Linked DNA regions of Mytilus edulis. The protein of the gene in region 1 purifies or fractionates together with the protein of each later gene. This does not show direct contact. Links are inferred from orthologs where the notes say so. Each region holds a gene or a part of one and is shown on either strand. Other genes may lie near its edges. The genes, in order: dual specificity mitogen-activated protein kinase kinase 5-like and hsp90 co-chaperone Cdc37-like.

What was found.
Region 2: the proteins of dual specificity mitogen-activated protein kinase kinase 5-like (region 1) and hsp90 co-chaperone Cdc37-like purify together in Homo sapiens (affinity purification with mass spectrometry; 3 studies listed by BioGRID and IntAct, with this or other methods). This does not show direct contact. The link is inferred for Mytilus edulis from reciprocal best matches to the Homo sapiens genes MAP2K5 and CDC37.

Annotation. Positions count from the first base shown.
Region 1 is NC_092347.1:75,249,192-75,261,143, reverse strand, and holds the start of dual specificity mitogen-activated protein kinase kinase 5-like, read left to right. Parts: upstream 1-6,073; 5' UTR 6,074-6,123; coding exon 6,124-6,225; intron 6,226-9,964; coding exon 9,965-10,013; intron 10,014-10,573; coding exon 10,574-10,641; intron 10,642-11,952. UniProt on the Homo sapiens protein: Acts as a scaffold for the formation of a ternary MAP3K2/MAP3K3-MAP3K5-MAPK7 signaling complex.
Region 2 is NC_092353.1:79,346,438-79,357,879, forward strand, and holds the start of hsp90 co-chaperone Cdc37-like, read right to left. Parts: upstream 4,805-11,442; 5' UTR 4,709-4,804; coding exon 4,670-4,708; intron 3,559-4,669; coding exon 3,425-3,558; intron 1-3,424. UniProt on the Homo sapiens protein: Co-chaperone that binds to numerous kinases and promotes their interaction with the Hsp90 complex, resulting in stabilization and promotion of their activity. Inhibits HSP90AA1 ATPase activity.

The DNA.
Region 1 (11,952 bases):
AAAGTCAGGATAAACTAAAAAAAAAAGGCAGGACTGAACAGAGTGAAAAATAAAAAGGCAGGACAGAGATTATAGCTAAATAAAAAATGCAGGACAACATTTTTCATCCTAGCCCCCCCCCCCATAAAATTCAAATGGTAGCTCCCTAAGAAAAAATAACAGACAATGAAAACAAGAATGACACATACAGCTTTAAAGATCAGGCAACATGATTATAACAATGTATCAAAACTAACTGTTTTTCTAAAATTGTTTTTTTTTTTTTTTTTAAGCAGGCCACATTTAGGCAAAGCTGTCCTTTCTTCATACAACTACGAACGGCAAGTGTCAGATGGGAATAAGCTGAGGATAACAAATATGTGTTTAGAACATCATCATGTTAAGATGCATTATTATAAAGTTATAAATTATTTGATATAATGAACATCTTCAATATTTTATTTTTTATTTGCACTGTATTTTTAATGCTTGATAAAATGATTTAAAATTATTATTAAGCTTTTGTAATCTCTACTAATCACATCAATGAACAGTTTTATTCAGTGCCGGCAAAATATCAATTTGCTATTTTGCCAGTGCTGGTCAAATAGCAAATTTGCTATTTAGCCGGTGCCGGTCAAATAGCCACTGCCATATCTTTTTTTAACAAGAGTGCACAAACTAAAATTTCTAGCCTTTTACTAACCATTGATAGTATGTTGATAGTCCTAAATATAAAGCTTTATTACAACTATCACTTGACAAGATCCAAGAAAATCTTTCTTGGTTTTTGATGGGCATTTTTTTCCTTTCTGCAGAAGGTGTAAAAATAAACAAACACCTGAATTACTTTGATACTGTCCACTCACTGACTCGGATAAACTCTTTAGTCACCTATAGTTATGAAGATACCTCTTGTCCAAGTCAATTAAGGACAATCAAAACAATACAAACCGGTTTTTACCTGAGGGGCTCATCTCAAAGTTGTACCAAGACCAAGGATTTGTATAGTAAGATCTAACTATTCAAATCCTTGCCACAACTTAGTTAATTTTCACACCTTATGCATGAAGAAAAAAAAGCCCAACAAAATCAAAAAGAGATTTTATCTTTCTGAAACACAAAATGCATTAAACTTTTAATATATCTAGTGGACGCTAGGCATTAAAACATTTCCAACTTCATATGCAAGTCTGTACTCGGAGTAGTTTTTGACATGTAAATACAGCCATATTTGTCCGTTTGTTATGATGAACCTTAAATATCGTCAAAAGAACTACTTAACATTCCGTTGAGAAAAAAACATTATACAATATATATTGTCCTTGAAAGACGAAAGTTTCTTAAAATACAATTATACGTGGACAACTTTTTCTGGGAATTTTTTGTCCGGCGAACAATATTTAATACAGCGACACGGGTCATTTTTCAATGTTGCATAAACAAAGAAAATTATGATCAATTATATAGCAAATAGTTAAAAGATTACAATTTTAACAACTGGTTATTTGCACTTATCAAAGAATTACCTAAATTCAAAATATTTCATTTGCACCATTTCCAATTTGTATATACCCCTTTTGTCATTGAATCTTTTCATCAAGTTGTATCTTTTACATTATATTTTTTTGGCAAACGTGGATATATTAACACAAAAAGAATTTTGTAGAACCATGGAAGTTATTTAAGTTTGACAATAATTTTACAATTTCTGTATTTGTTTTACTTACTCAAACAAGTCTGATCTTACTGCGACGAAGATGTTTAGAATCGCACGGACTTAGAAAAGGCGCGAAATCAAGTGCACCTAAGTAAGCCAATCAAAACGGTTCAATGTTTGACAGGCACGGTTTCAAATTAACTGTAAATCTATGGGAGCAACCATTTAACTTCAGGGGGTATTTTTTATGAGTCCCAAATCTTTTTTACGTGCAAAGCGCAAACATTTTTATTTAGTTTTTCGACGGCACGCTTCCAATCAATTATATTTTTCAAAAGTTTAAAACACTATTTATAAGGTAACGGAAAAATCTGAATTCAGAATATTTTTTTAATTAAGTACCCGAAAACAAGTTTTGCAATAGTATTATTGTATTCGTGAAATATGCGAAATTATCAAGTTTCGAAACACTTTTATTACTGTATACATAAAGTAGTAAGTTATTCAGAGTTGGACGTCACTGTTGTAAGCCAGATGAAACTCTATGTTTGCTCTCTCCTTGTGCCTTTATTTGGTGAATAAAGATATTTTATTCTGTGCTATAGTTCTAAAAAATAGACATTACTACTTGAGGTATTATTTGCTTTCGTAAGAATTCAGTATGAGCAATTATAGGCGTTTGGTGCCAAATTTGTAAAATTGCACCTAAAAAAATCCGGAACAGACTGTCAATGCAAACATACAGCTTTATTTATGATGACAATTTAAGGTTACTAATAACTGATTGATTGTTCAATGTTTAATATGCATTCATTTTCCGGTTTAAAATCGACCATATTTTAACTGGGAAGAGCACTTCGGACCTTTTGTGACAGGGATGAGCATCTGATACATCCAGTACCCCTACTTTCTTTTATTTATTTAGAAAATAAAGAAAATAAAAGTCTGTCAATATAAAATCTTCATTATCAACTAATATTATGGAATTAAATTTACATGTATTATTCTCTACTCTTTGGTGGGGTTGTTGTTTCAATCATTGGCACATTTCAGTATTAATGTCAAAAGAAGGGGGGGGGGGATTTTGATATCTTAGTTAAAAAAAAATTGACACATCTGAAATAATTTTGATCTTTCAAAAGTTTCCATTTTCAGTAATTAGATAACTTAGTTAAAATGTTGATAGAGATGGCCAATTGATGTACCTATTGTTTAAGTATCAGAGCTATTTTTCTATGTGTACAATATTTTTGGAAATTTCTGTTAACTATATATATGAACCATTACACCTTATCTACTTTATGCAAGCAGTTATTTGTCAGCTCACTAAATGGTATAATAGTATCAACTTTTTGCCGAATTAATGATTCATATATGTTAACATAAAAAATAAAGAAATGTGGTATAATTCCAATGAGACAGCTACCCACTAGGGACCAGAGACGAGAGTGTAAACAACTATAGGTAAAAGACGTACTGTGACCTATAGTTGTTATTTTCTGTGCCAATTGGTCTCTTGTAGGGATATGTCCCATGAGCAATCATACCACATCTTCTTTTTTATATAGGGAACTGTACAGTCTTTACAATGAGTAAAACCAATGCTGTATGGTAAACTACCGTGAGCCTCGAGATAACAAAATTTGAAATACTTCAAACGAAAAACACAACGCCCTATATTATCATAAAACAATTGGCACACGGCAAACAAATAAGAAAGACAGAAATTAACAACAGCAAATGACAGGCTCCTGACTTGGGACAGGGACAAAAGGAATAACAGGTTTGTGAAGGCTTAACCCTCTCTAAAACTGGTACAGTGGTGACACAGCACAATATGAACAAACTATGAAATTTTGTTGGAAAAAGGCTTTACTCATCAGATTGGCATTAATGTCGTTAATCACACACACAAAATAATTAAAAGGGAAAATACTCAAAATTACTAAAGCTAGTTCAAAACCAATTTCAATTAATGGATAACTTATGTTCTCTGCTGTCGATATGTAAGGTGATTCGTTTGACCTTCTTCTGTTTCTCTCTCAAGCCCAGCAATCAATCGCCAAATCTCTTTTGCCGTAAAAAATGAATTCGAAGAAATGAACAGTTCAAGTAATCTTATACTATTATTGTTTTTACTGATTTCACCATTATTATACATTGATTCCTGTACTATAGCTATTTTATTTATATTATACATATGCTTATATAACTGAATTATGATGGATCATTGTCATTCCTCTCCCCCGAGAGACCTTTAAGGCTTAGTACACATATAACACTGCTGTATTACATTGCATACTTATATTATGTATATGCATGTACGCATGATATATGCATTTGTAGTCTTTTTAAGGCCAGTCAGGTCATAAAGAAAAGATAAACTGTTGTAATGACTTTAAGATCGAGAAATTGAAAACAGCTGGCAAAAGTCCGCACATATAATTACTTTAAATATACTTTCAAATATGAGTAATATGAGTATTTCAAATATAAAAAAGACAGGGGAAAAAAATTAAGTTAGAGTTAAGAAATTGAGTTGTCCCTCTTTGTACTGGTTATGGACCTGTTAACCTCTGTGTATTAATTCTGAAAAAAAAAAATAGTTTTCAATGTTTGTTATTAATCTAATCAGTATATATATTAGGTTGCATGTGATGTATGTCTGTATATTGTATGATTTATTATTTTTATTTATTGATTTATATTCTCTAAATAAGAAAAACAGAATGTTGATTTGATTTCTGATTTGATTTAACATGGTCCGGCCAATCAAGTTATTATAAGCGGTGACTCAGTCACCCTTTAAGCCTGCCAGTAATATATGGGAAGACTTATGATATTTTAAGGTAGCATTAAACCAACCGGGAGACAATGTGGTTTTATAGACATCTAAATGATCCTAAATGACTGTATCAATGAATATGACAATAAACCAACGCAGGCGTCCCACTCATGGCTTGAAGGAATATATATGCGATGGGGTTGTACGCGAATTGCGTAATCCTCTCTAAATCTTAATTGTGGTATTGCATGATTATCTTTAAAGTATACTCGCCTCTAAAAATTTATATACCTACAACCTCTTACATTATTAGTACCGGCTTCTTTAGAAACTACATTTAAGTCTTGAATAACCGCATAGTCATGACAGAACTCTCTCTTACTTTTAACAGTTTATTATTTAATCCTTTTTGCCGATAAGTTGTGGATATATATATATATATATATATATTGCACATGTATTTTATTAACAATATATAAAAATAGTTCTCCATTTTGAACACTCAAAAAGAATAAAGTTAAGGACCGATGCCTTCTATTGATCTTATAACTATTTGGACCACGAAAACTGTATGATCTACACAAAAACATACGTGGAATTTATCCCAGAGGATTTGTATAGTAAGACTGGTATCAACGAGGACTATGAGAGAATCTTATCGTGTCTTCTTCGTAACAGTTTACTAGTGATATTGATCTCTGTACTTCCTACTGATTTCAGTAAAGCAACATTATAGACCGCTCGGAAACAGCCTGGCAGCATGAACTCTAATGCTCATCTGTCGTGAATGTTGTTTCTACTCCTCTTGTTGACACCCTACGTATCAGTTACTTCAGAATGATAACATACAACGCTGAAAATTCATAAGACAAAATGATTTTTTTTATTGGTTTCAAATCAAGAATTATTACAAAAATTTCACAATAATTTACATATACATATACACACATATCCATATAGATTTGTTAACATTTATATATGTATATACATATACCATGGACTCTCCATGATTAGAAATGCATTGCTATAATATTTGTAAAATCTAGTCTCTGCTTAGGAGTTGCGTACCACAAAATTATGTCATTTATTATTCAACTATGTTATACAATGCAGCCATATGTATGTCACTGAATAAATCTACCACTTGACCGAATGGAAAGTTCAAAATAAAAATCATGGTGAAACACAATCTATTCTCCATATCAGCTGGGACTAGTATAATAGTTCCAGATATATATAAGAGTATAACAAAATCGGAGTTCTCAGTATGTTTTATAATTAGATTCAGGGGTGGGGGTTGGCAAAAACATTTTTTCATGACAAATGACAGACATGACATGTTTAGAAACAACACATATAGGAGGTACATTGAGCCTTTAAATGCAAGATTTTATAATTATTAATAATAATACATAAAATTAGCAAATGTAATGTCTTTTCGCGGACAGACTTGTGAACAGTCTGGATTTAAACATTTTATTCTGATTAAAAATAATTTTCAACCTTGTACTATGTGATATTGCTCTTTTTAAATATTTTTATTAATTTAGAAGCGTTATTTTAAACGTGAAAAAAAACACGAAATAAAACAAAAGGATAACATCGGCTCTCTCGAAACTGTAGGTCACAATTTATAACGTTTCAACTTGTTGCTTATCTCCCTTTAAAAGTGAAATTTTTTGGGAAGTAAACAGAGAAAATGGCTTTGCAGCCAACATTTACTGTTCGAATTCGTACAGAACAAGAACAAGATATGGATTGGATGGTGCAACCTGATCAGATCACATTTAATCAGGCATTAGTGAGAAAATCAATCTTACAAAAAACAACATGATGATAAATTAGGCTCTCAAACTGTAGTTATACCATTGTTTACAATGCTTTTCTTTGTAAATATCACACTGATTTACCAAATAACACTTTGAATTTTGAGAATCTATATATAAATATATATCTTTTTATTTGTTGATGAGAATAACGGTATACATGTGTATATACAATGATATAGAGAAAAAAATATTTTATATCACAAGCTGAAGCAAGTGAAGGATGCAAATATTGTACAAGGACATTTAAGGTGTGCTAATTTAACTATAATGACATCCAACAATAAATATTTTGATATATGTCAATAGTTTGATAATGACAACAACTGAGAAATATTTTAACCAGTAATACATATAATTGCAGAGAAACTGACATGACCTCCCTTTCCAAATATTACACCTAATAAATTCTGAGTTTTTGAGGTCTTAAAAATCTATTTTATTTCTTAATGTGTCCTGGCCTAAACTCTGCTGGAAGTTGGTAATCAAACCTCTCGTGCAGTGACACAGATCAAGACTTTTATAAAGGGGCCCAGGGAAGGGGGACTGATTGCCAATAAAGGGGCCCACTCCAGTCTCCAGTCATACGTTGTACTTCAGTTTTTCCCTACTTAATCAACCAAACTTTTCCCCATAAAAAAGAGGGGGGGTAAATATGTCTCTGTCGTGAACAACTATTGACAAGGGGGTTATATCTGAATTCAAGACATCAAGTTAAAAAGCAAAAAAGAAGGGAACTCTTTCCTAATGTCTAATATACAAGGTAATTACAGTTTTAATCTGATTTTTGATTTTGAGTCTTTAATAAATAAAAAAAAGATTGCATACATTTTTTAGTGGAAGAAGACGTCAAGTCTTCTGAAGACTTAAGGGGCCGACCATTGGCTTTGAGTCTCCGTATGCCGCATTCATTTCGTGTATTACAATTTCAAGACAACTTAGATTCCTGACACCGATTTTTACACATGATTGGGCATCTGAATCATTTAATTTGTAAATTATGATTGTAAAACAATCACTATCGTAAATATGACCCTTTTATTTATGTAAATTATTAGATTTCATCTCATCCACATGAACGTAATTTGTTTACTTGTAACAGGATGTTTTAACTGTAGATATTTGTATTACGCATGCGTGAATTTGGTATCGGTACAACTCGCCCTGTTTACAAGTTCACCCTTGAAGTTACGAATTTGCAATCCTGCAGACAAGAAGATTTTATTTTTATATAAATAAAAAAGATATATAAAGTGTTATCTTTATTCATGGGTTTCCTTTGTCATGTGAATTAGATGCCCTTCGTAACATACATGTGAACCTCCCGTTTAGGAGAAAAAACTCCTGTGTATGAAATTTTTCAGACGCCATATTTGATCATTTCTTACTACTGTACGGGTGTAATTGACACCTGTGTTAAATTTTACCTGAACATCAAAGAAGATGTATAATTATATGGCTTCACTTGACAGCTTGGGTGTCAAACATACTGGTAATCAACGATGTTTACCTCCGGCTAACTGCCGTTGTGTTATCAAAACGATGTGTATTGGGAATATTGAAATACTTTTTTGTTACTTCCCTTTGTTTTATCCTGTTTTCAGTTATTTTGCTTTTAAAAATGTAAATGGTAAAAAGACTATAAATGATTAATATTTTAATCAAATAATCATAAAAGGATGTTAATTAAATGAATTTAAATGATTTTGGACAAATAAAAAAATTAAAATTTATAAATTATTTTATTAATTTAGACCTCCTTTCAAGGATTAAATTGAAGTTTATATATTAAATTTGTTTAGTTAGAAGGCAACATACAATATTTGCAACTAGGCTAATAGTCTAGCTTCTGCTAGCTTCATGTATAATTTTTCTACCGATTTAATATATAACTAGAATTATGCAAACAGACTTAAGGAAAAGGCATGTAAGTCATGTAAGTTCATACAAATATGACACTTTTTCTAGACAATCCAGATCTTGCAAAATACATCGCTAAAAATTGTAACCTTTAATTTTGTTGTTGTGCAGTAAAAACCCATATGGGAACTTTCAAAAGTTGGCAGGTATGTAACAAGTCTTACTATTTTTATGCTCCATTTATGGGCAATATGTTTTCTAGTCTGTCCGTCCGTCCTGCTTCTGGTTATAAAGTTTATGGTCGAGGTAGTTTTTGATGAAGTTGAAATCCAATCAACTTGAAACTTAGTACACATGTGTTCCTCTTGATATGATCTTCTTAATTACTGCCAAATTAAAGATTTTACCTAATTTTCATAGTCAACTGAACATAGAAAATGATTGTACGGATGGGAAATCCATGTACTTATGACCTTTTCTTGTTTGAAGAAAAAAAATACATTTTAACGATAATGGAACAAAGCAGCCTGGGTAAGTGGGGCTGCTTTTATGGTAATTCAAGTTACCTTTTATTCACCTTCTTCCACTTCAGAGCTATCAGCTCTTTGATTAAATGCAGGGGCGGATTTGGGCGGGGCGGATATAGTTCTGGTGGCGGGCGTGCGCCCCCCCCCCCCCCCCCCTAAAATTTGCAAAGCATGGGTTGTCCGCACGTAATAAGTATCCGAAGAGATGACAAAAGCTAGCCTAATGTCGTCGCATTCAATCTGTTTTAACATTCAAACAAGTATTACTATATAAAACAGTAATTTAACAGAATTATTTAACGTGATTACTAATCAACTGACCTATTGTCTAAGTTCTATAAACATGTTACACTTCAAAGGAAGGTGTCAAAAGCGGTACTGCGTTTGATGACAAATATCATAGGCTTTCAGCAGTAAGAATAAAACAATTGTGACATTGTAGTTGCAGTTTTAATAAACAATTTCTTTGATAATCGAAGTTCAAAAACATCCCTACATCACTTTCCCACGAAGAAGGTGGAAGTGCCCTACCCGCTATTTGGGTTATTTCATCATGGCACGACCAGGAAAGCAGTCTAAGTTAGATTCTTTCTTAAGGAAAGATAAAGATTATGGTTCAAGCGAGAGTTTAGTTTGTTAATTTGACTCATTATTTAATATCTCTGTGACAATATATGATTCTCACTTGCAACATATAAAATTTGCCGAAGCATGCATAAACGAAAATAAGCACAATTTTTTAAGGATCTCATTTTGATTTTAGTGGTTAGCGGCCAATTTTTTTTTACAGAATTGAAAAGTCTAGCACGACCTCCGAAAATAGAACAAAAATAAAAACACGTATTATGAATTGACAAATAAATTGTACTAGTAATAATTTTCGTTTTCAAAATCTTACATTGGTCAGATGAAAAATCGTCATTTGCTTTGTCTCACTTTGCGTCTGTCGGTCCGCCTGTCTATCTGTCAACTCTTCACATTATGGTTAATGTAGATTGTCATTAAAATTATGAGGTTTTAGATTGAAACTTTAATTTCTCGCTCATTTTACCACAAATGTTTCTCGCCACACTTCGCTTGGCAAGATATCTATCTACATTGCACCCACTCTAGAAGAATATTTCAATAACTTTGATTATTTTAACCTCAAAAACATTTTTTATTCTGCGCCCACCCTAACGTCTAATCCTGTATCTGCCCCTGAAATGTAAGCAATATTTGGCTTTTTTGTTTTAACTTTTTGTTAGGTTCTATAGGGGATATTATATTTATATACATCAAACAATAATATATAATATGTACAACATTATCTTATTATATTTGACAGGAAGTGATATCAAGAGTGCTACCTCAAGCCACAATAACAGCATTTGAATGTATGTAAATATTTAAGTGTGTTTATTTTTTTCTGCCTATGTTATGATTAATATTAGCATCTATGATTTTGAAATTTTTAGAAAATTAAGAAGAAGTGGTAAGATTGCCAATGAGAATGCTCTCTATCAGAGATCAAAATGTACATGTTTAAATCAGGGAGCAATACAACTGTGAATCCCTTAAATTTTTAGTGGCCAGTTATTGATGAACAATATATTAATTGGGTATGAGTTATGAGAAATAAAAGAATTTCATAACATTACAACAATATTTTCAATTTTAATGTAAAATTGTGTTAAACTCAGAAATTATATGTATTGTGTTGTGTCTTCATTTCAACATATTTTTTCTAATTGTTATTAAAATTAGGTAATAAATTTGTGGACTTTAAGGTGTACATTAACTGCATTGGTTTAACAATGCTTTCTTGTTAGTAGCTATATAGTTCACCTAAATAGGTACTAGTGAACAGAAAAAGCATGTGAAAGTTGTGTAATTACATTGTATATACAGGGAGTAACAACTGAATTATGCAATAAAATGTATTATTTTTTTTCAGATGAAGATGAAGATGGGGACAGAATTACAGTAAGAAGTGATGAAGAGATGAAGTCTATGTTCCAAACCGTAGGTACATCTGATATTCTAAATTGCTTAATATTTATTTAGAAGAACTCACTGCTTATACAAAGATAGAATCAAATCAAAGAGTCAAATTATGTTGATCTTTAACTTCAGTTATTATTCTGATATTAAGAAAATGTAGATAGTAAACATACTCACCCGGATGTTTTTATAATCTATATAGAGTTAAATATAGTTCAGTGACTTAACTGATATTATACTTAGGGCTTACAATGATGTGCAATTAGGATGATAAACGATCTCTTCCTGTCCATCCATTAATTTTTTTAGCTTCTAAAGAGGTCATAGATTTGTAACAGTCACCCATATTGTCAGTGGTTTTTAGTTAGGATGCATTATATTTTAGGGGAGGGGGGATTAAAGACAGGAAATTGTATTTGTTAAAAATCATTTTGTAATGTTTGGTCTGTAAGAAGGATCTTATAAAAAAAAAGAAGATGTGGTATGATTGCCAATGAGACAACTATCCACAAAAGACCAAAATGACACAGACATTAACAACTATAGGTCACCGTACCGCCTTCAACAATGAGCAAATCCCATACCGCATAGTCAGCTATAATAGGCCCCATGAAGACAATATAAAACAATTCAAACGAGAAAACTAATGGCCTTATTTATGTAATAAAATGAACGGAAAACAAATATGTAACATATAAACAAACGACAACCAGGGGCGTAGCTACCCGGAGGCACGACAGCACGTGCATCCATGTCGTTTTCGCAACAAAAACAAAACAAAAAAAGCAGAAGAGAGATGAGTTGGTCAATCGGAATCGGAGACTGTTGGTGTCTTTTCCGTCTATCCCGGATATTAGTTTGACAACCTAGTTACAAGTGTTGATGAAGGTGGCACGGTAGTATTTCCTGGCCCATAGGGATAATGATAGCCTTTTTAGAATTTTCACCACTTTCTAACACTGCAAAAAAATCTACATTCACACTTAACTGAAGTACTTTCATTTTACTATTCAGAAATGAATTTGAATATGTATCATGACCGTTTACTTTTTTTGCTATTTTTAGAAACCTAAGGCCACTAGTAATTTTAGGTCTTTTATGGTGCAGTGAATACAAAATTCTCAAAAATTCTCAAAAATTCATTTTCATCTGTATGTAAAATTATTTCATATTTTTCTACACCTGATTCATCCCTCAGTTTGGGAAAGTATGTTCAGTTGATACTGTATTTTTTGTCCAATCACACTGTTTAGATACATTTACCTAAGTAGGGTACACAAAAGAGCAACCTAAATTCTGGAATGCAAATACTACCATGCCACCTGAAGCTGT
Region 2 (11,442 bases), on another chromosome or scaffold:
TTGATGTCGTCCCTTAACTTTTATGCCCACCTATCAGTCGGAAGGGGAGGTGTTTAGCTTTGGTCATACTTGTGTATTAATACATGTAGAAAATGTACAAGACACTGGTTTTGGAGGAAACACTTATATTCGTTCAGTGCTTCAAACTGTAATATTTTGAATCTAGAGAAAGCATTCAAATTGCCATTAAAAGTAATTAAACTTGCTTTATTGCCCATGTCTGGTAAATTGTTTGTATGGAGGAAATGGATGAAAAGACATCAGTTTTGACTAGTAAAATCATTTACAGAAGCTATGTTTATTCCATTCATTTAAATCTAGACATCTACAAATGTTATTCAAATATGATCAAATATGTATGACTTAGCAGGGGAAAACCTTGCAGGAGAAAGATAGATTACTGGTATGATTTTTCCAATTGTTACACATGATGTTCAGATTTTGGGTCTTTGACCAAACAAACAAACTACATGCTCCTATACATGATAAAAGACGAAACAGACAATGGCCTGGGAATACAAATGACAGTCGTATATGTATTGTTCATATTTAAAATAAGAAATGTAGTTATGTAGACCCGTAATATGAAAATCTTCCACATACTTTCAATAAATTAAAATCACTTCAATGAAGTTCCCAGGAGTAACGGCACTGTAGTTGAGGAGTCCCCACCGTCAATTTGTGATTTGATGTTCGCAAATGCCGTTTTACCGTCGACGCGTAGGGGAGCCAGTAAAACGGAAATTTGCAACCGTCAAATCAAAATTGATTGTGGCTACTCTTCAACCACAGTAATGTAAAATAAAACGTCAGAGCTTGGAATAAATGGGGAATGTGTCCATGGGACACTGATGATGCCCCCTTTTGTATAAACATAAAACATTATAAAGCATAACATTTGGTCGAAGCAACTAAAGGTAGAGAACAGAAACGAAAAATTCAGAAACGACCTAAAAAAATACTCAGGCCGAGCGTCGTCACTACTTCATTATGATCTCTTATATACAGTGAAAGACTAAAAACTAACAATTTCCCAGATTTTATAGTGCATACGTGCATGTGTAAAGACACATGTTACCATCCTTGTTTTTTGATAAAATTGATTCAAATTTGACTGATATACATAGACGTTTGTTTGATAAGAAGTTGTAAAATGTCCGGTGGCAAATAGATCAGGCATGTTCAGGACGACACAATACAATAGTTGTGTCTAATGCATCCATAAAAAAATACTATAACAAACATTCCGTCAGTTGTAAAAATGATTGATAAAATAACACATATTTCGAATGATGTAAACGTGTGCATATTTTGGGACAAATCTGCTAGCAGAACATTTGAAAAGACCAAGTTCAACATTCTGTCATTCGTAAAAATTATGCAATAAAAATATCTGAGAATATATATATGCATCCTCTGTAAGTAAAACATATGGCGCATTATGTAAGTTCCAACCATTTTAAACGAAATTGACTAAAAGTGTCACAAAAATGTGACGTTTTTCACTCAATCCTGCGTTTCTATAAATTGTATTTATACTTTATACACGGAAACGGCGTGCATCAGACTTACAAATTCAATGAAAGAGACAGCGTTCTTGGAGCAGAATAAACATCACTTCTATCTTGTGAAAGGAGATCGATTTCTATTGAAATGAGCTTCCCATACATTTTTTTAAGGTTTTACGTCGGGAGACAAGAGAAAGGAGACGGGAGAAAGGAGAAATGTATCCCCTGTCCGACCCCTCATAAATCTAGAACTGTAAAAGTGACGACATCAAAATTCAAATTTATTCTGTGTTTTTGTGGTAAAATGCATTGTGCATAAGTTTTATATCAGTTTGTTGATGCTAACTAACGTTAGAGAACGGAAACCAATTTTATAAAAACAGACGTACACTATGGTACGTACTTTCGGATGGACGTACAAACAGACAAGGATAAAACTTAATACCCCCTTTACTACGGCGGGGGCATCAAAATGTACAATTATGAAATAAAATAAAATTCCGCGAAACTTCATGAATGGTTTTTGCACAAAGACGTTATGGCTAAACGTGACGTCATATAAATGAAAACTAACAGACTGAAGGTCATAACGTTACTTGTACGATTCAAATTTTGATAAAATTACATCAAAACGGCGATTTTGAGGTAGGTGTTGTTTTATTTTTGATAATATTGTAGTTATCAAACATTGGTCAATCATAGCAATTCAAAATGGCGGGTCCCTCCTTTTTTCAATTATTTGAATTCGAGTTATCTCCCTGTGTACGCAAACCTTACCTTAATCAATTCCAGAAAACTTGTTGAATAATGATCTTCAAGCACGAAAACTGATAAAGAAAAAAATGTAATAACGGAGTACGAAAATATGGTGACAAATAAGGGAAACGAACTTATTGTGTAATTGGTTTTAAACACAGGTTTCGTTCCGCAAAATTATTTGCGCAAAAGACATTTCAAGGTCATAAATAATTGATTTGTCTATTTTTAGAAACGTAAACTGGAAGTTTCATTTCACAACAGAAAGTGTAATCAATTCTGTTAGTGATTAATGCATTTTATTTCATAATAAAATTATATTTTAATTATTTTTCAGGGATCATCATGCATTTGTTAAGGTCGGCGGGAATAAAAAAAAGCAGAAAAGTCAATTTTATTTTTATTCAGGAAATCGGCAAAATTGGGTCAGCGGATCCGTAAACCAACAAATTAAAAAATCCTGGCCTTCTATCTATATTAATGTTTATATCACTTATATGACAATCAGAGGTTTTCGAAAGTCAACTCGATAGTTAATTAGATGTTTAGAATAAAATACACACAAAACAAAGCTACATTTTATTGGGCTCATGCCCTGTAAATTGTTCTTTTTAGTCTTTTTATTATTTGGATAAATGTTTTACATGTACATTGTTATAAATCAAATATGCCAATTTGAGTCAAATCGGTGAACATGCATTTGACAGCTAGTGCCCCTTTTAAAGTTTTAAATTAACAATGAATATTCATCAAACATGATATTTAGGTTATATTAATCCATTTGACCCCCTCTCCCATTTTATAGTTTTTAAGATGTTAGTAAAATGCATGTGATGTATTTCTAATAATAATAATAATCACATAGTCTTTGGATCATTAATTAATAATTTTATGTACATACCCCACATCTCTTTCATAAATTTATAAAATATGCAACAAGTGAAGTATTTCTCTTTTGAACATTTAACATGCACTCTCTTAGCACAGATATATACCAGTCTGTCTAGCTAGCCTATGTTAATTTTAACATGTTTAATACTTAAAGATTTTAACAATTTTTTATGCTGCTGATGCATACAACATGATGAACATGTACAAAAGCATGCCAAAGTCTTGATTCTGTGACTTTTCAGACAGATGTGACAATAACTTAAACCTACTCTGTCAATCCTTTATTTAAATCTTCCTTTTCTTTCTTCGATTGTTCCATTCTATCAACACGTGCCTGGTGGCGCCATCTGAAGAGACTTGGAGTGTCAATGTTTGGATGAGTGTCGTCTTCATCATCAGAGATCTGAAATAATTCAAATTAACAGGTCAGGAATAACCACTAATTGGTGGATTATACCTCAATTGACGTATAATCCACCAATTGAGGTATATTGGTATAGACCAATTGATGTATAATGCAAGTTTTTTGTAATTAAATGCTAGTGTGAGATAGGAGCATGATTTTGCAACTTGCAACCTATTTCATGACCCTTATTGAGTCCTCCGAAAGTTTCAGTTTTGTCAAAGCCTGCTGCATTTCTTGAGAATGCATGTGTACAACAATTCTTTTGTTGAAACATTTGTACTATTGACCATGATTGACTTTTAATAATGAAAGTCAAGTATTAACAAAGAGCTCCATTCACCTGTGGAGTTGTACTCATGATCACATGACTGCAGACAGTAATGATGTCCATTGACAGGTGATTACAGGTAAATTTGCCAATCAAAAATTGACAAGATAACAATAGAAGAAACTTCAAATACAATTATTGATTAAATGCAATATGTTATGTCACTATACTAAACTAGAAATGTTTGACAAGTTTTCATACCATAATATGGTTTTAAGAAAACAATGCTCCATTTTGGTGGAATAATTTGTTTTGAAAAACAAAGAATTATACACCAATTGGTCTATACCATTATATGTCAATTGGTGGATTATACGTCAATTGAGGTATAATCCACCAGTTGGTGGTTATTCCTGACCTGATTAACTCACAACGTGAAACCAACATCTCATTTTTTAATGTTCTTTCTTACATCAGAAAGGCAGTATATATAATAAAACATACATAATTAAACATACTCAATCATCATGATCATGGATGTTTGGATTTCTAGAACTTTCCACTGTTTGTTTTAAGAAGTCAGAACAGTACAGTTACAAAGCATTACATATACTAGTAGGTGTAGAGTGCTTTAGCATGTAGAATATAACCAAATTAACAAAAAAATATTGTTAAAATAATTTTATTGAATTTTGCTTTGTGTCTCTTTCGGTCGTTTCTGTTTTGGCCATGCCCGGCATACTTTTGAGCCACTAAAAAGATGAAATTTATGTCTGTTTGTTTATTTGAGATATAATTTCTAATTTTTCAAGTATATCATATAAATATTTACAATGTTACCTCAATGTGATCCCACTTGCTATAGTTAATTGTTGACATTTTGGTAATCTGGCCTTCACTTTGTCATTTTTTTCAGCGTAAATTAAAACCGGAAGCTTTTGTTGAGTATGGCGATTCTATTAGCAAATATTATCGGACTGGATATAAGTAAATTGCGGATTTATTTCAATAAATGGTTTCTTTATTTATTAAAGCCCCTGAGTGTAGTAAAGGCTCCTTTAAGCTAGGACGAGATAGGAAGATTGTTAGCCTCGGGAGACTGTCAAGCGGTACTCCGACATTTAAAAAATAACAAGTTACTTTTTGGAAAGTTTTATAAAAAAGTTATGTGAACTCTAATGTTACTATTTATGATAACGTTTCTACTTCAATTTTTACTGTAATCAAAAGTATACAAGTAAATATGAACCAACTTATTTATAAGAGGGTGGTAAAGGGGGGCCCTCAACACGGAAACACGTGAAATAAAAATGGCAAAAACGTTGCACGGAAAATAAAAATCGGAAAAAACGAAGCACGAGAAATAAAATAGTAAATATTAATGACTCATTAATGTAAAAAGTAAAATAATTTATTAATCAGCCGTTCTTGGAGATCATCTAGCCATTATATATGATGGACATGATGACCCTACAGTCACATTTTAGCGTCCGCTAGTCGCAACTGATTTGAAAGAAAAATATTATTCATAATAGATCATAATAATTAATTATAGCAATTTTAAATATTCTGCATGGGAACACATAATTTAAATTCCAGACTGACCGGGGCTTTGAATTTAATCCCGGCCGTACTCTTAATCAATTGCAGGACAAGCACGAGAAATTAAGAGTACCGACACGAAACACGGAAAATAAATAAAGGAGAACACGAGGCACGCACGTCGAGCCAAACACGAGAAAACGAGAAATAAAACTTTAAAACACGAAAACACGTGAATTAAAAAGGCGGAAAACGTTGCACGAAAATAACCCTTTACCACTCTCTTATAGCAAGAGTGCACACCCTGAAATGTCTCGCCTTCTTTACTAACCATTGGTATTATGTTGATAGTCGTAAATAAAAAGCTTTACTACAAAAGAGGGACGAAAGATACCAGAGGGGCAGTCAAACTCATAGCCATGATTGAAAATAAACTCACAACGCCATGGCTAAAAAATAATAGAATAAACAGACAAACATAAAAATAACGGTACAGAAGACACAACATAGAAAAATAAAGACTAAGCAACACGAACCCCACCAATAACTGGGGGTGATATTGTTGCTCCGGCCCCCGGGAATGGTAAGCAGATCCTGCTCCTATGGAAACGTATATTAGTCACCAGTTGATCAGTTGTCAACACAACTTGACGACAAAAATAAGAGGGAAAGTTGCATTGTTACTGAACTTGTACACTTAAACAAGTTTACTTGTTTAATTAATAATTAAACTTGTAGACTTACTACAAGTTGACTTGTTGAGTTCTTCTGAACAAGACCACAGACCAAAAAGTGTACATAATATTATTGTGTCCTAGTAAACTTTGTCGTTTGTACACTTGCTAAATTGAACGTTTCTTTCTTGCTTTAGAAAAGTATACTTTCCGAGTTAATTGCGGTCACTTGTCGTGTTGTTTCTCGCCTTTCTTACATAGTATAAGTTCATTTGTATTGTTTTTATGAATAAGTCAACTTCACACAAGTGAACTTGTTAAGCAAATATCGTTGGTCTACAAGTGCAAAGTAAACATAATTTTCATATTGCGCGCGAAATTATAGCGAGAAGATCTCTGAGCAAGAATGGATGCAAAAATGGAGACCGACTGTAACAGTGATGAGGTAATTAAATAACTACAGTTTTTAACAGGCCTGTGACTAATAAAGTTACAAAAAGAAGCATTCAATACTTATAATTACATTTTTTAGCTATGATCATGAAAACACGAATTTTATAAATTTTGTATATTATTCAACTGTGTACTTTATTGTGGGACCACGTGCTATCATGAATGCAAAGTTTTATTGAGTGATGCAATTGTTTACGGAATAACAAGTGATGTGCCGTTAGCCAATCAAAATAAAGTATTATAATGAAACATACATCTAATGTAATTATTAAATAATGATTAGCAGTTTAGGAGAAGTTGTTCATACAAAATGAGTATCCCAATTATATGGCAATGGTAAAAATCCATGTTTTTGAAATAAAAACTAAAAAAAATAACCTTGAACAAAAACAAAATAGGAGGTGCATGATAGCATTATATCATAAAAAATCTTGAGAAAGTTTCATTAAATTATAATAAGTGATTTAGGAGGAGTTGGTGATACAACATGGATACCCCAAGGTTTTGTCAATTGAAAAGTCCATGTTTTTTAAATGGAAATCCAAAAAATGATTTTAAACAAAAACAAAATAGGTGCACAATTGCATTATATCATAAAAAAATCTGGGAAAGTTTCATTAAATTATAATCCGTGGTTTAGAAGGATACAACATGGATGCCCCTTTTTCATGGCAATAGCTAAGTCCCATGTTTTTTCAAATAGAAACTCCAAAAATGATTTTCACAAAAACAAAATAGGAGGTGCACAATGGCATTTCGTTCTGACAAGTGGTTAAGGAGGAGTAGGGGATATAAAATGAAACATAGTGTGCAGGACGGACAGAGGGAAGGACGGACTTTCCCATCACTACATACCTCCACTTTAAAAAGCGGGGTATAAAAATTAAAATGGGGAATGTGTTAACAATTTGCAAGGCTTCAGCTTAACAATTACATGATCATGCAGTTCTTTGTATTTGTATTCATATCTAGTATATTAATGTTTTAATATTGGGGTTCATGACAAATATATGCCAAGCAAGTGTAACAGAAACACATTTTCTTGCTTCTTCAGATATATGCATACATTTATAAAGCCTGTTTAAAAAAATGGGTGAAAAAAAATCTTGCATTAGTTTTGTGTAATCAACTCTATAGTTTTCAACCTAGGTCTGTAAAACTTTACAGGAAGGTAAGCTAACACACATGTTTAAGTTCTGAACAGGCTATTTTGGAATTGTTTGAAGAGATATATCGGGTTTTTTTTTCAAATTTGGAAGCATAGTTATTTTCCAGTAAAAAATATAAACAGTGTATTTTTTTGTAATAATCTCCTGATCACACAGTTTTCAACTACGATCCTAATTCAAAAATCACTAAACTAACCTGGGCATTTTAGACTGACCAATTTTTATTTTTTTCTTCCATTAAAAGCTTACTAACAACTAAAAATTCTATCGATTATCTTTGTTAAAATAAAAAATCTGACAATCAGACACAATTTTTTTACCTTAGTTTTAGGTATATCAGCTACCAATTTTATGCCAAACTGTTAATTAATGTAATATTATAATTTCTTGTCTTTTAGCATGATGATAATTCACAAAGGTGTACAGTGTGTGTGGATCGACCAAAAACTGCAGTTATAATACCATGTGGTTATACATTTTGTATGGCATGTGCTACACAGATTGAGGCATTAGACCAGCCTTGTCCGGTATGCAGAACAGCCATTCAAGATGTAAATCAGTGTTTTCCTTAAAAGAGGATTATAGACATAATGAACATGTATGATGATATGAGATTTGGTTTTTGTATTTTTTTCTTGGTAGTATAAATGATGGCTGTGAAGAAGTTCTGTCATTTTTGGATAACTTTTGTTCAGACAGTTTGCACCAATTCATAGTTAAAGGTCATGAAAAGGTTGACAGTAGCTCTTCCTTCATTATGTAAATGATTAAAAATGCTTCATCATTTCGTGGAGTCTTTATTTATTTAAGTTTCTGGCCTAATATATTTATCTTTGCAGTAGATGTAGATTTGAGTTACAGCCAAAAAAATTGTAATTATAATGTAGGTGATGATGGCTTGAAATATTGGTATCATAGAAACTGACTCCTGCAAATGTATTAAAAAACTTGGGTGTTTTACTAGTAAGCCAAAAATAATATTGAAATATCAGGCAAACAAGAAATCTTTTAATTACAAACAAAAAGGAAATAATTTTGTCCTCACAAAATGTCTGAGATATGTAACTTGGCAGCAATGTCAAAAGTTCTCTTTTTCAATATAAGCATTATGTTGTCGATTGGAAAAGTGAGCTTTAATTGATTTAAAAAGCAGGGTAAGTTCATTAAAACCGCAGAACTGTTTTACAGATAGCATTTGTTTCCCAGAGATGGATTTTGATTATGTATTGTGGTTTAATCTTAATTGTATCTTTTAGATATATGGTTCTGTATTTTTTGTAAATGAATCTGACAATTAATGATCAGGTTTTATAAGATAACAATTAACAATTTCCTTTTTTAGCTCACCTTTCCTAAAAGGAAATGCGAGCTTTTCTCATCACTTGGCGTCCGTCGTCGTCGCCGTCGTCTGTCGTCGTTAACAATTTTTCAAACATCTTCTCCTCTGAAATTACTGAATGGATTTGGATGAAACTTAGCATGAATGTTCCTTAGATTATCCTGCACAAAGTTTGTGCTTTGATTTTTGATCCGTCAAAAAACATGGCCACCGTTACTTAAAATAGAACATAGGGGTCAAATGCAGTTTTTGGCTTATATCTCAAAAACGAAAGCATTTAGAGCAAATCTGACATGGGGGGGGGGGGGTAAAATGTTCATTAGGTCAAGATCTATCAGCCCTGAAATTTTCAGATAAATCAAACAACCCATTGTTGGGTTGCTGCCACTTAATTGGTAATTTTAAGGAAATTTTGCAGTTTTTGGTCATTATCTTGAATATTATTATAGATAAAGATAAATTGTAAACAGCAAAAATGATCAGCAAAGTAAGATCTACAAATAAGTCAATTTGACCAAAATTGTCAATTGACCCCTTAAGGAGTTATTGCCCTTTAAAGTCTTTTTTTCACAATTTGTTCATCATGTTGACTTACTTTTAAAAATCTTCTCCTTTGAAACTGCTGTATCAATTTCAGCCAAACTTAGGCTAAATGAGTTTCAGAGTATCTAGAATAAATTTTATATTTTATTTTCTTATATGTCAAATAACATAGCTCCTATGGCTAAAATGGAACATAGGAGAAAATATATTTTTTTTTGCTTTTGAAGAAAATAGGATAATTCAAAGAACATTTAAGTAAATTGAAAAGCCAAAATAATCATTGATGGGAGATTTAACCAAAAAAATTAAGGTGAGCGATTCAGGCTCTTGAGAGCCTCTTGTTTATATATACTATAGCATTTTTTTTGGTTTGTTATGCTAAAGATTTGGAAAACATAAGGAACTATTTTGACATATGTAAACTAGATAACACAAAACAGTTTTAAGTTCTTATTTTCCCTATTTTTGCAAGGACAAATGGTACAGAAATTATCAAGCTCAATTTATTTATCTCAAACTAGAAATGGCCATTAATGTGCAATTTAAGCTATATTTCTGTTTAATTTTATTGTATGATTGTAAAAAATCTCCGCTAAAACCTCAAGATTGATTTGTATTAATGTTCTTTAGAATGTTTTAAAATATTTTCTGCGGTATTCTGCACAGAACTTATTTGGTGAAAAAACAAGGATGTCATTGTAAAAAAGATCATAATTATGTGTAATGGTAAATTGTAGTTTTTAGCAATCAAATTAAAATCTATGAGATATATTGGAGAAAAAATGACCAATGACTCAACAAAAAGCTGCCCTTTAATTTTTAATAATAATTTGAGACCTTTCTGGGAGTTTTGGCTGTTTATTTATTACTGATATCTATTTATATGATATCAACAGTATAACAGCATACGTAATTAATTAATTGACATATGTTCAGTTAAAATTTAAATTTGTATGATTATTCCTGAAGTATTTCTTTTATAACATTTTATGACTTATAAGTTATATTTTAATTGCAATCATAACTTGCATTGTTATTTATTTAAGTTCTCATTTCATACAAATTGTATTTTTTATTTTATTGGTCTCTGGTCTGATGATCAAACTTTACTTTTTAATAAAATGTTATGATGTTTTGTTCTTTATTTTAATTCATTATTGCTTTAATATATTTATTAATTGATCATAATCAACCTTTGATCAACTATTACCATTCACAAATGATTGATAACAATAGGTTGACTTTCAAATTTTAAGATTCAATATGAACCTACCTATTCTGTGCTTTGAGTCTACAGTTTTATCGTTTCTGCTTATCAATGGTTAGCTCCTTACAAAGTCTAGGGTATACAATGTCACTTGATCCCTCCAGAGTAGTTTTAAATACCTTTAAACTAAGTTTGGGTGATATAGATGTTTCATTATGTCAGTCTGTGGTCTGTCCAACATACAATCCACTACTGCTCATAAGATGCTTGTTTGTAGTAGTACAAGTGTACTAAAGCAATGTGGGGTCACTGAATGGAGATGTGCATATTGTTAGAAATTTTCTGTTTCTTCAAGTTGATAAAAATTTCATGGTAATGAATTTAATATAAATAAGATGTGATGCCAATGAGACAAACCTCCATCCAAGTCACAATGTATTAAAGTAAACCGTTATTGGTGATAGTATGGCCTTCAACACATTGTCTTGGCTTGCAACAAAGAGCATGCTACAAAATGTATAAAGGGCCCCCAAATGACCAGTGTAAAGTAATCCAAACAGGAAAACTAAAAGTCTATCTTTATATATAAATCGAGATACAAAAACACCTATAAGGCACACCAACAAACGACAATCACTGAACAAAGAGCTGACATAGGATGGGTGCATATAACAATGCAACGAGTT